Mus musculus: one gene and its partners. The protein of the gene in region 1 purifies or fractionates together with the protein of each later gene. This does not show direct contact. Links are inferred from orthologs where the notes say so. Each region holds a gene or a part of one and is shown on either strand. Other genes may lie near its edges.

Evidence for each region. The genes of interacting proteins can lie anywhere in the genome.
Region 2: the proteins of Armc8 (region 1) and Tceal9 purify together in Homo sapiens (affinity purification with mass spectrometry; 3 studies listed by BioGRID and IntAct, with this or other methods). This does not show direct contact. The link is inferred for Mus musculus from reciprocal best matches to the Homo sapiens genes ARMC8 and TCEAL9.
Region 3: the proteins of Armc8 (region 1) and Ranbp10 purify together in Homo sapiens (affinity purification with mass spectrometry; 5 studies listed by BioGRID and IntAct, with this or other methods). This does not show direct contact. The link is inferred for Mus musculus from reciprocal best matches to the Homo sapiens genes ARMC8 and RANBP10.

The regions. Positions count from the first base shown.
Region 1 is NC_000075.6:99,566,097-99,570,132, reverse strand, and holds the start of Armc8 (armadillo repeat-containing protein 8), read left to right. Parts: upstream 1-1,233; 5' UTR 1,234-1,486; coding exon 1,487-1,531; intron 1,532-4,036. UniProt on the Homo sapiens protein: Component of the CTLH E3 ubiquitin-protein ligase complex that selectively accepts ubiquitin from UBE2H and mediates ubiquitination and subsequent proteasomal degradation of the transcription factor HBP1.
Region 2 is NC_000086.7:136,243,844-136,247,649, forward strand, and holds Tceal9 (transcription elongation factor A protein-like 9), read left to right. Parts: upstream 1-1,236; 5' UTR 1,237-1,384; intron 1,385-1,857; 5' UTR 1,858-1,923; intron 1,924-2,492; 5' UTR 2,493-2,522; coding exon 2,523-2,837; 3' UTR 2,838-3,296; downstream 3,297-3,806. UniProt on the Homo sapiens protein: May be involved in transcriptional regulation.
Region 3 is NC_000074.6:105,824,399-105,828,444, reverse strand, and holds the start of Ranbp10 (ran-binding protein 10), read left to right. Parts: upstream 1-1,236; 5' UTR 1,237-1,260; coding exon 1,261-1,495; intron 1,496-2,255; coding exon 2,256-2,367; intron 2,368-4,046. Other genes in the region: Tsnaxip1 (translin-associated factor X-interacting protein 1), read right to left, coding at 618-658. UniProt on the Homo sapiens protein: May act as an adapter protein to couple membrane receptors to intracellular signaling pathways.

The DNA of each region.
Region 1 (4,036 bases):
GTTTCCTAGAAGATGTATTGCCCGAGTTTCTGGGTGAGGTATAGCTCACACATATAGAGACTATTGTACAATTGTCAATGCTTTTGTGTGCTATATACAATTACAATTTGCCTGGTTGTAGCAGGCATACTAGGACGTGATTTTAGGTGTTACATGGGTGGACAGATGAACATTTAAATGTATTTATGAATGGTAATATGTACTAGAATAAAAAAGAATACAACACATTTGATTTCACAGACTTGATTTAGGACAAGGCTAACAATCTTAAATGGGCTCAATCTGGCTTTAAATAAAATTACTGAATGAGTAATAATTCCTGTGTAAAGAGTGGGAAAGACTGTAGTTACAGAGCTTAGGATATACCGCTACAGCACCAGGGTTCTCTTAAACTTCCAGGCTTTCAGAAGTGCAACACTTTGTAAGAGACTTATAAGCAAGGGTGATAAGTGATACAATAAATGTAGACATTAAAGTACAGGAGGAAATGAGAAACAATGGGAGAGATATGCTTTTACTTAAAGAGCACTGGGAGGTGAGTGGAGTTGAGGTAACAACCTGAATTAGGGATGGCTTTACTTTCAGAATATTTTAGTAGGAAACATTCACATAGTTTAATTCTCCATCCCCCATTTGACCTAAAGGCTGGAAATAATTCTAACACACAGACAACGTAAGGCTTTCCACATTCCAGGCATTTTTGTTGTTGTTGTTGTTGTTTATTGGGCCATTTATTCTCATTAGTCCTTATTTTACAGTCGGGAGAAGTGAAATAAATATAAAGAGGCTAAGAACCTTTCCAAAATATTGGCACTAACGAAAAGCAGCTAGGATTAAATCCAGGCGTCCTGGCTGTGGAGAACCCGTTCTTACCAATATACCAGAGTAAGTGGGTCGGGCACGCAACGCTAAATAAAGCAGGTCATAGTTAACTGTTGAAGCGTGAGGCGATTTTCATTGCAGGCAGAAGACCTAGTTTTGAGACCAGTTTCTCCAGCTTTAAGAGGGAGAGAATACTGAAACTAGGGAATGGTGTAGAGTGAGATAATGAATGTGAAAGTGAACTTCAGACTCCGTAGATAGTAACTCCACCTACTAGCGGTTAGGAAAGAAAACCTGTAAACTGAAATTTAAGAGTGCGGACAGCTCGTCGAGCCAGGGTGAGGCTCCGCCCCCCACCCGCGGAAGGTGGGGCAGGCAGGCTTCTGCGCATGCGGAGGCCGCTGCCCGCGCCCACCTCTGACCCCAGCCGAGAGTAGCTGCTGTTTCTGAGAGGACGATTCGTAAGCCGGGGTCCGGCGCGGTTTCCCAATCCCTCGCCCTTCTGCCCAGCCCCTTCGGTGCTCGAGCGACGCCTGGGGCGCGGTCTGTTCTGGGCAGCTTGCCTGGGCTTTCTACAGAGGCTCCGGCTGCAGGTCACATAGGTGGCTGTCGAAAGTGCCGGCCGCGCGCCGGCGCCGGCAGCAGCCGGGTGGGAAGGCTCAAGATGGCGTGCCTGTTGGAGACCCCAATCCGCATGAGCGTCCTCTCGGTGAGTGACCCGCCCGGCGCGGGGCAACCCCGGTCCTGCCCACAGCATTACCCCGGCGCCCTGAGCCTCCCGAGCACCACCCACTGCGGTGGCCTCAGCTGGGATGCACGCGACCCGGGCCGAGTCGGAGGCGTCTCCTACTCGAGAGCTCCCACCGGTGCGGGTTCCCAGGACGGCGGCCGTTCGGCCGGCGGGGAGGTCGGGCTCCAGGCAGCCGGCCCATGGGCGCGGCTTGGGTTTGGCCGAGCCTTCTCCCGTCTTCCTCCCTGCGCTGTTGCTTCTCGGGACGGAGCTCGCTGCCTGCGAGGGTTCAGGACAGGCCTGGAACCTAGAGTCCACTTCGCTCTCCAGGGCTGTGGCTAGAAGAGGTGCGAACTCTTAAGCTGCCACAGCACAGAGCTGCCAGACCAGGGCTGTGCGTCTTCTGTCAAGTCCCTACCACCAGGGCACCTGCCAACACCGCTTGCTTCTTGGCAATGGAGGTTTTCACATCAGCTGCAACTCGCGCTATTGTGTATGGTTATTTAAACCGCTTTGCTGTGCTCTGCTGTTGAGGTCCGGGCTCCGAGACTAGAGAAACTATGTTTCTAATGTCCGGTGTTTGATTTTTCTTTAGGGAGAGCAAAACATTTTAGGAGGGACCAAAAAGTCGGAATGAAAAAGAATAGGTTCCCCCAGTATTTGAAAGAAGGGAACGTATTGATATACCTAGAAGAAATATCAGGGTTTTTTTTTTCTTAAATTAAAAAGAAACAACAAAAAGCAAAGAAGGCGACTTTCGCCTTCCGCTATAATGTCCTTTAAACAAACAAACAAAAACAAAAAACAGGACCAGGAATGAAATGAACAAGAATGAGTGTTGTTGGGAGATAACTCTGGGAGGTTTGACCACAGATTTTAGCAGTTGGACTCCAAATAGAGCCTACCAATGATTCAGTTGTTGTTGGAAGTAAAGAAATAGGCGGGCAAAGAATCATCTTTTAGACCTGTGGAGACTTACCGAGATGGCAGTTGGATTATAGATGGCTTGTCAGATTCCCTATAGTCTTGCAACTCCAACCGGTTTCTTTCCTCTTCCCTGACTCTCACACAAACACACTTTTGTGTTCAAAGGCACTAGGTACATCACTCCAGTCAGGGCTGGTTAGAGCCATGCTGGCTACCCAAAAAGACAGAAGTCACTCTACAGTGCAAAATGCAATTTTGGAAGACGGTCAACAAATCTAGCCCCAGATCCGTCTTACTAAACTGTTTACTTAAACTGCAACTGGAGAAGTACTTTCTGTCCAATTACTGATCACATTAGCTCATTATTTCACTTTATATTGTCCATGAATGTTTAGTGGGAGAATAAACCGATGACTTCTCTCTTTGCATTAAAAGGAGAAAAGAATGTATCGTAACTGCTCAGTTTCTTTCTGATTGTGCCATTTAGGTTGCACTTATCCTATAGTTCACCTGAAAAGACGTGTGCGAGTGCACATACACACACATAGGTGATCAATCCCAGACCTTTGAGCACGCTTGAAAAATGCTGTTCCAAAATATTGCTCTGGCCTCACGTGTGGTTTCTTTGCCTTTTGTATATTGTCAGCTTGTATAGTGGATATAGTTGAAAACTTCATTTGTCTCACACTCCCAATAAATGATTATGTTCTGTTTATTTCACTCGAAAACTTGTTGAAGAATATTTTCCATTTTGAGTTAGACTTTTCTTTAGCATTTGGAAGCAGAAACTAACTCTAAAGTCTTGTTTTCTAATTCTTCCACCTTAGGGCCTTGGAATAGGCAGAGCTTTAGACACATGATTTAAAATGTCTGAACTTGGTGATTTTCCCAGTTTAAAGGAAAGGTTCTAACTTTCAACCAGCTAACCAAAGCTTATATATATTTATATTTATATTTATATTTATTTATTTATATATATTTATATCAGTTATTAGTTAGAAGTTATTGGAAGTTGAGGAGATGGCTCAGTAGGTAGATCTCTTGCTTCACAGCAGGTCTTGAGTTAGGATCCCATTACCTACATAAAAAGCTGTGTGTGGCAGTGCATGTCATTGGGAGGTAGATCATGGAGGGTTTCCGGCCAGTTTGTCTAGTCAGAACAGGGAGCTTCAGGTTCAGTGAGAGACCCTGTTTCCTTTTTTTTTTTTTTTTGAGACAGGGTTTCTCTGTGTAGCCCTGGCTGTCCTGGAACTCACTTTGTAGACCAGGCTGGCCTCGAACTCAGAAATCCGCCTGCCTCTGCCTCCCGAGTGCTGGGATCAAAGGCGTGCGCCACCACGCCTGGCTGATGAGACCCTGTTTCAAAAAGTAAGATAGAAACAGGAAGGTGCCAGACCTTGACCTCTGACACATAGTTGGTTGAATCCTCTAATAAGCTACTTACTGTGTCCTAGTGAAGCATAAAGCATAAAGCCCTGTATTGTGTACTTTAGCAATGCAAGGGCATCAGAAATGCTCTGAAGGAGTTCACAGTTCTGATCACACTAGAGCTGTAAG
Region 2 (3,806 bases), on another chromosome or scaffold:
CTACATGTAAAATTGAGCAGAAATCTGACTCAAAGGTTAAGATGACCAAACAGAAGATACAGTTTGAAAGCAGCAATGCCAAGTTTTAAAATATATTTTTTAGACATTTTAGACACTTACTAGGTATATGTAACCAAGTGAGCAGCCAATACTTTCACCTATAGAGGCTTTTAAGTCCTTAACCCAAGCAACCATCATCATCATAAAACTAGCAACTTGACTAGTCAAGTTTAAAGTTTAATTTAAAGTCAAGTACAAGATAAAGAAGCTAGAGTCCTCCTGTTAAAGGGGAACATAATTATACTATATCCAGTCTCACTCCAGCGTGAGTGAGATATGCATATATATGAAATAAAATGGGAATAAGTAAATGTTGAAAGTTTTCTATGAGCTAAGCGATTTAGAGCAGACACATATTGTTAAGACAGTCCAACAATTCGTGGTGTATATAAAGTGTTACTTTCTTTAAGATGAGGCGACTGTTTTCGAACAATCTATGCTGGCAAGTGTTGAAGCAGCGATTCTTCAGGCGACACCACTTCTTGGTAATAATACCACCAGCAGGCCTCTAGAGTTAAACATGATTTTTCTTCTTTTTAAATAATTCCCCCAAGTAACACCACAATATAATAAAAAATGTAAAGGCATATACTTTGAATGCATTTACTAAAAAACACTAGGCACTAGTATAAGAAATGAACATGTATGAATTCACAAATGTATCTAAAGTAATTTGGCTGTCACTTCTGACTGTAAAACAACATTACTTTCGAAAAGACTACAGACGTATTAAGAATAAAGTTTAAGTTGCCTTAAAGAAAAATCCCACTTCTATTTCAAGATTCCCCCTCTCCCACTGCTTTCTGACCTACCTACCTGGCTCCACAACAAAGGAGTGCGTTTCAGATGAAGGAGGAGGGGCTAAGGAAAGCTAGGTGGGGGGTGAGTGGTACTGGCAGTTAGGAGCGTGAGACAGGAAGAGCCTATTATTAAAAGAAGCCGAAAAGTTCCGTAGCTTCAAAAAATATGACGCTCCTCTTTAGTAATCAGAGAGCTGCAAAAAGAACAACAACAATAAAACCAATCCGCACATTCTTTTTTTTTCTTCCTCCAGAAAAGACTGACAAGGCCAAATGAATGTTTAGAGAGGGGGTGGTAGATGGGAGCGGAGGGCGGGGCCACATCTGCCGCGCTTTTTGTGGGAGTGGAGATCGGGGACCGGACCTCACTGGTGACGTAGATCTCATGTGACCAGGAGTCGACGTGTGCAGAAATCCTGCTAGTCTGGTCCTTGTTTCCATCTGGGTACCAGCTCCCTTTAGCCTTGCAGACGGTGGTGCGAGAGGCCAGCGGCCAGAAGAGACAGCTTGCTTCAATTCATCAGGTTAGTGTTTTAAGCCGTTACTGCCAAGGATTTTTGTAGTTTACAGTGGTCTAGGGTAGTGACTTGAGTCCTGGTTAAGTCTGTCCCTCCACCTCGTACCTTTAATTCTTCAGGAAAGGACACTTGTGAAACGACTAGGGGGTCCCAAGAGAAAACAAGGGGGGCTGTGACGATTCCAAAATAATCATACTCTGAGATTTTGGACCCCCACTTTGCTTCCCAAACCTCGTCTCGGATCTACAGATAGTTGGGGAAGAATAGCTCCTTTTTACCCTCTGTCTGGTGAGAAAGACAGGCTAACTTGCGGGGTGGGAAGGAGGAGTCCTTTGGGAAACAAAGGGTGGGAAACTTCCATAAGCAAGCCCTTAAATGCGGAGAGCTCGGCGAGCTGGGTCCGTGGTAGTGCTCTGCTGAGCACCGAGGGCTTGCTTGCCCCACCCCCAACATCCCCTCCCTTCTCCGTTTGCCTGCAGGTTTGTTCTTTGTACCGCACCAGGCTAAAATAAGTAGGAAAAAGAAATCGACCAGATCTGTACCTGGTAAGTGAGGGGGAACTTTATAAAAGACTCCCCCAGGATATGGGTCGGTGAAGGCCTGCAGAGGCTGAAGGCCCCAGTCCCCTCTCCCTTCCCCCCACCCCTTTCGGAGGGGCCTGTGTTAGGCCTGGGAGGGAGAAAGATTTGTGGAGGGCTGGGGCGGGAGGCGGGAAGGAAGGCCTTGGAAAATGCTGGAGGGAGGGACTAGAGAGGGGAGGGGGTGGAAAATGGAGGTAAGAGGGGCGGGGACAGGGAAACCTTGATTGCGGACTGGGTTTCTCAGGTGGAAGGTATCTGGTGAGGGCAGTTAGACCGAACGAGGGTGGGGGGAAGAGAGGAGGGGAAAGAGGGAAGTGGGGAGAGGGAGAGCGGGAGGGGGCAAGAGTGGACGGAGGGGGGGTGGGATGGGGAGGGCGTAAGCAAACGGTGAGGAGACCTTTGTGCACAGCACCTGCCCATCTACCAAGTCTTCCATCTACCACCACCTCCTCCTCCTCCTCCTCCTCCTCCTCCCCCTCCCCCTCCCCTCCCCCCTCGCTTCCTAGAAATCATTGCATTCCCGTATTCTGCAGGAAGCAGCAAAGAAGAGAAGCAGACACAAGATGAAACCCTGCCAAAAAATGGAAGGAAACCTAGAAAAGGAGGATGAGCCAAAGCCTGAGGAAGAGCCAAAGCCGGAGGAAAAGCCCGAGGAGGGGCAGGAACCCGAGGAGGAGGAGAAATCCGAAGAAACTTTTCGGGAGAGGCTGATCCGGTCTCTGCAGGATTTTCAGGAGGATATACACAACAGGCACCTGAGCAGTGATGATCTGTTTAGAGATGTGGAGGAGCTAGATGAGATCAGGAAAGTGAGAAACAAACTTATAGTGACGCGTTGGAAGGCTAACCGAAGCCATCCTTACCCCTATTTAATGTAGCTTGGCTTGCTTTCCCTTTTATCTGATGTTACCATTGCGATCTAGCTTTCTTTTCATTAGCATTTTCCTGATAAGACCTTTGCCCATCTTCCTACTTTGAATCTGTTGCTGTTAGTGGCTTTAGCTGTATCTCTTGTTGTCTGTATCTTACTGTTGATTATATTTGAACCAATCTATAAGTCTCTGGCTTTAAGCTTTACTGATTTGTAAAAAAAAAAGAAAAAAAAGAATAACAAAATGAGCTTCTGATGGGATACAAAATGAGAAAAGGTTACAAAATAATATGGGAATATCATATTTTGAAAGACAGGAGTACCTTTGTATGTTACATATATGCACATATAAACTTGTGAAAGATGAATGATTTTTCTTCTGCTTATTTGTATTTGCCATATTCCTAAAATGAACACGCATTATTCTTGCTAAAAATAATAAAGGTTTTATAACTAAAAATAAGAATCCAACAGCCCATCAATTTATTTTTAAAACTCCTGAGGCGCTTGTTATTCATTGACAATATGAGAACTACCGAGTTAAAAGATTAAAATTCACAACTCGTCTCATACGCAATAATAAACATAACTGTGGTGGTCACATGCGCTGCAGAGCTGTTCAACGGGGCTTTATCCCCATTTGCTCGTGCAGGAGGCTCCAAATGCTAGAGCTTTCTTTCTGCTATTGGGAAGCATAGGAAAAAGTAACAAGCTCAAGCAACAGTTAGGTGAGTGCTCCATAGTTCTTCCTGCCTGTCTAGACTCCCATCGAGCTGCTTTCGATACTTGCGTGGTTATCCAGTCCTTGCACATTTCTGCAAATTTCACTTCCCTGGGATCTTAACTTATTTCCTCTTATAAGATTCCAAGAGAGAACAGGCTCATGTAAGAGTCTGACCAGAACAGGAGTCTTAACAATTTAGGCTTTCACAGGATCTCTTTTCTGGATGTGAAGATGCCATTTGGTATTCCTGAC
Region 3 (4,046 bases), on another chromosome or scaffold:
CTTTGATGGGAAACAGTTGTCTCTTTCAACCTGCTGCTGCCTGTTTCTCGGAGACTTTTTTTTTCCTTCAGGGACAATCATAACATTGGTATTTTCTGTCCTTGGAACCTCTGTAGGCTTATTATTATTATTTTAATTCATTTATTTTAAGATGGGTCTCTCCATATAGCCCTGACTGTCCTGCAACTCTCACTGTTCAACAGGCTGTCCTTTTGTAGCCTTTTTCTACCAAGGCAGCAGACCTTGAAAGATTAGAGTTGAGAATGAAATCACCTCTCTCGCCCTTCTTCCACTACTGGGAATGAGCAGGTGGGAAACTGAATGCTTCTTATAAACAGGAGTTGTGAGAATTTCACATATAATTATAATAAGGCACTTCGTTTTTTAGTGTCTAGCTAAGATCATCTATCTACGATAAAGTACACCTGCACTTTTGGCAGCTTGTAACGTTCTTACTGGACTGACGAGTCAGCCCCAATTCTATTACAACTGTATCGCTGATTCTGCGGCGCTGAAGTCCTACCCAAAGAACAGACAGTGCAGCGATCGGAATCAGTGTCATTTTTCTTTTTGGAAATATTCAAGTCTTCCCCGCCCTCAGCCCGGCCAGGTGCTACCTTGGCTTGGAGAAACTTTTACGCTCCTGTAGGTTGGCCATGACTTTGGAGCAGATGCAGGATTGAGCCGTTGCGGTAGTGTACAGTCCGTTGCCATAGGGACCAGACCCCAGCAGCCTCTGCGTTGAGGGCGGGCTCACAGTTGAGCCACGCCTCCAGCCCCCGCCCCCGTGAGCACTCTGGAGAAAGGCCAAGCAGTAAAAGTAGACCTGGAGCTGGGGATGGGGTATTCTGAGAACCAGTCAATACAGCAAATTTGATATTAGCTACAGAACTGAGGCAGAAGAATAAAGTGAGACCGTGGACGAGGAAGGCGAGCTTCGAGGTCTGGCCACTTGGCCAGTCGGGAATGGTAGTTCTCAGTGGTTCGGAGTCTTCGTTGTACTGGCTTGTGAGTGAGCAGTGATGTACTACATCTTCCGAAGTTCTCCAGGAACCCTCGTTGGCCGGCTTCTACAGCGCTATGCATTGTGGGATATGTAGTCTAAATCTGGCGAAGTATAGTAGTGTCCAGAGAAAGGTTGCCGGGACTCGGACTCAGTTTCCCTACGACCCTGGGATGCTCACGGCCCATTGGCTGAGCAAGGCAAATCTGGTTGCACTCCTCCCCGCCCCCAGTGACACAATAGCAGCTCCCTCCAAGATGGCGGCGGCGACGGCAGACCCGGGAGCTGGGAACCCGCAGGCTGGGGACTCCTCCGGTGGGGACTCCGGGGGCGGGCTACCGTCACCTGGAGAGCAGGAACTGAGTCGGCGCCTGCAGCGCTTGTACCCTGCGGTTAATCAGCACGAGACGCCGCTGCCGCGCTCCTGGAGCCCCAAGGACAAGTACAACTACATCGGCCTCTCCCAGGGAAACCTCCGTGTCCATTACAAAGGTATCAGCGGGTCTGGCCGCTGGGAGACAAGTTTACTGCGTCTGCAGGGAGGCTGTGCCCATTTTCCCTTTCTTTGCCCGGGTTTTCTGAGAGTTGGGCCTTAGCCCAGCGGAACGTCCAGAGTAGAGGGGTTGGTCAGGCCGGGGTTTACCCTGCTTCCTTTGCTCTGTTCCTAAATATTAGACTCAGAGACAACTGCATTAAATGTCCAAAACTAGACAGGACCTTCCACTTCAGGGCCACCCTTCTTTCCTGAGCTGGCTCCAATTTATGCTAGGCCCTTTACCACGGCTTAGTTTCAGTCTTTTTTTTGCAAAAAGAGGTGGTAACATTGCCACAGTAAGTGCATGGGCTGCCTGGCTGCCAGTCATCCCGGGACTGGGCTAGGCGCTGTGTGCTAAAGTTGTTGTTGGTGACTTCCATTTTTGCCACTTCCTTCCCCTGGGCTCCAGGCTGGGCTGTTTGGATTCTGGAGAGACGGACAACAGTATTCAGTGTCTCTCACACACTTCTGTTGCCTGTATCTACCTTGTTTTGTTTGTTGTGGAGGACAATATCTCTGTCAGGACTGTTGGTCTGGGGTGGAGATGATCTAAAGGCGGGAGGCTTAAGTGTTTACTCAGTTGTCTTATTATTCCTCAGAGAGTACAAGAACTTCTTCTGGCCAGGGAGGGTTGAATTTACCATGGCGTAGAGAAAAAGGAGGCCTTCATTTGCGTTTTTCTGGTGTTGACATTCCTTCCTTGGCTTCTTACATCAGGTCATGGCAAAAATCACAAAGATGCAGCCTCTGTACGTGCCACCCACCCCATCCCAGCAGCCTGTGGTATTTACTATTTTGAAGTAAAGATTGTCAGCAAAGGAAGAGATGGGTAAGCCTACTTAACTATCCCTTTCCCTCCTCAACATAGGACTGATGTTCCCCGTTGTCAGTGTTTGAAGCTCCTGAACTAGTATCAGGGACTGATATTAGCCTGCTGACCTACTTGGATCCGGGCTACCACTCCTCTGACTAGAGACACGATCTGGTCTGAACAGTGAGTGGGCTTTGAGAGCAGTGGGCACATTATAGGTGGAGCGGAGGGCACTTTTTTTTGTATTGTAATTAGATAGTCATAGATCGGGGTTGTAAGTAACAAGGTTACATTAACAATTCAAAGGGCAAGTGGGGTTTCCCCTGCTAGCATGTGGTGTTTGTGACTTCCCTTGTTTTCGAGGTTGAGGTTCCTTTTTATGGCACTGAGACAAGGAGAGGCATCAGGAAGCTTCAAAGGGACAGCAGAGTCTGCGCAGCTCTCTTCAAAGCTGTGGCAGCCACTGTCATCTGGATAAACAGTGTTCACACAGTCAAAGTCAGGTGACCTTGCTGCTCATAAACTTGTTTTTCAGTCCAAGGACTTGAACACCAGTTGGACCAGCTTTAGGAAGGTCTTATTAAAGTCAGCATTAGGGAGACTCCCTATTTTAGGGTGACCTAAGCAGACACAAGGTATCAGAGGGGACATTTGTCCTTCTCTTCCTTATTCCTCCAGTCTCCTTAATCCATCTAGTAATTGTCACAAAGCAGATGTCCCAAGCTACTCCAGAATGTGACTGTAACTATTTTGGGACAAGCTTTCTTTTTTTCCCTTCTTTTTTTTTTCCTCTCTTTCTCTTTCTCTCTCTCTCTCTCTCTCTCTCTCCCTTCCTTCCTTCCTTCCTTCCTTCCTCTCTCTCTCTCTCTCTCTCTCTCTCTCTCTCTTTCTTTCTTTCTTTCTTTCTTTCTTTCGTGGGGTTTCTCTGTGTAGCCCTGACTGTTCCGGAGCTTGCTCCATAGACCAGGCTGGTCTTGAACTCAGAGAGATCTACCTGCCTCTACTTCTGCCTCCTGAATGCTGGGATTAAAGGTGTGTGCGATCAGCACTACCATCACCCAGCTAAGGGATAGGTTTTCTTAGGTCTATTATGGGAGGATTGCAAATCCTACCAGTGGCATTCATGTGGACCTGAGTGTGTGTTTTTAAGCTTTTAGATAACTTTTGTCTCCTAACAACTGTCTCACTTATGTTGTGTGCAAAATGCCAGGTTTAGACGCTGAGCCTGAACTGAGCATGGTGTTGCAAGGCTGTAATCCCAGCACAAGTAGGGTGGGGTGGGGAGAAAGCAGGCAGATCTCTGTAGAGGCCAGCCTGGTCTACAAAGTGAGTTCCAGGACAGCCAGGATTATTTCATTAGACCCTGTCTCAAAACAAAATAAAAAAACAAAAAGGCTGAGTCTGGGCAGAACTGTTGGGATCGGAGCCTTGAATGTTTTCTTAGTGACTTTGTGACATCCTGGCCTTGGAGGGGCCTCGGACTTGAGTACATCTTGGGGCTTGAGTCTCATCACAGTCATTCTGGGATCTAAACTGCCTTTAGCCTTAACATTCAGTGACTTTAGAATTTTAATCAAGGGAATCTGTCGCATCTTTAACTTTCATTCCCATCTGCTTCATTTGCAGATAGAAAACTTACATTTGCTGGAAGACTTAAGATTAATATTTCTCTCTACCATCAGATAAAACATATTTAA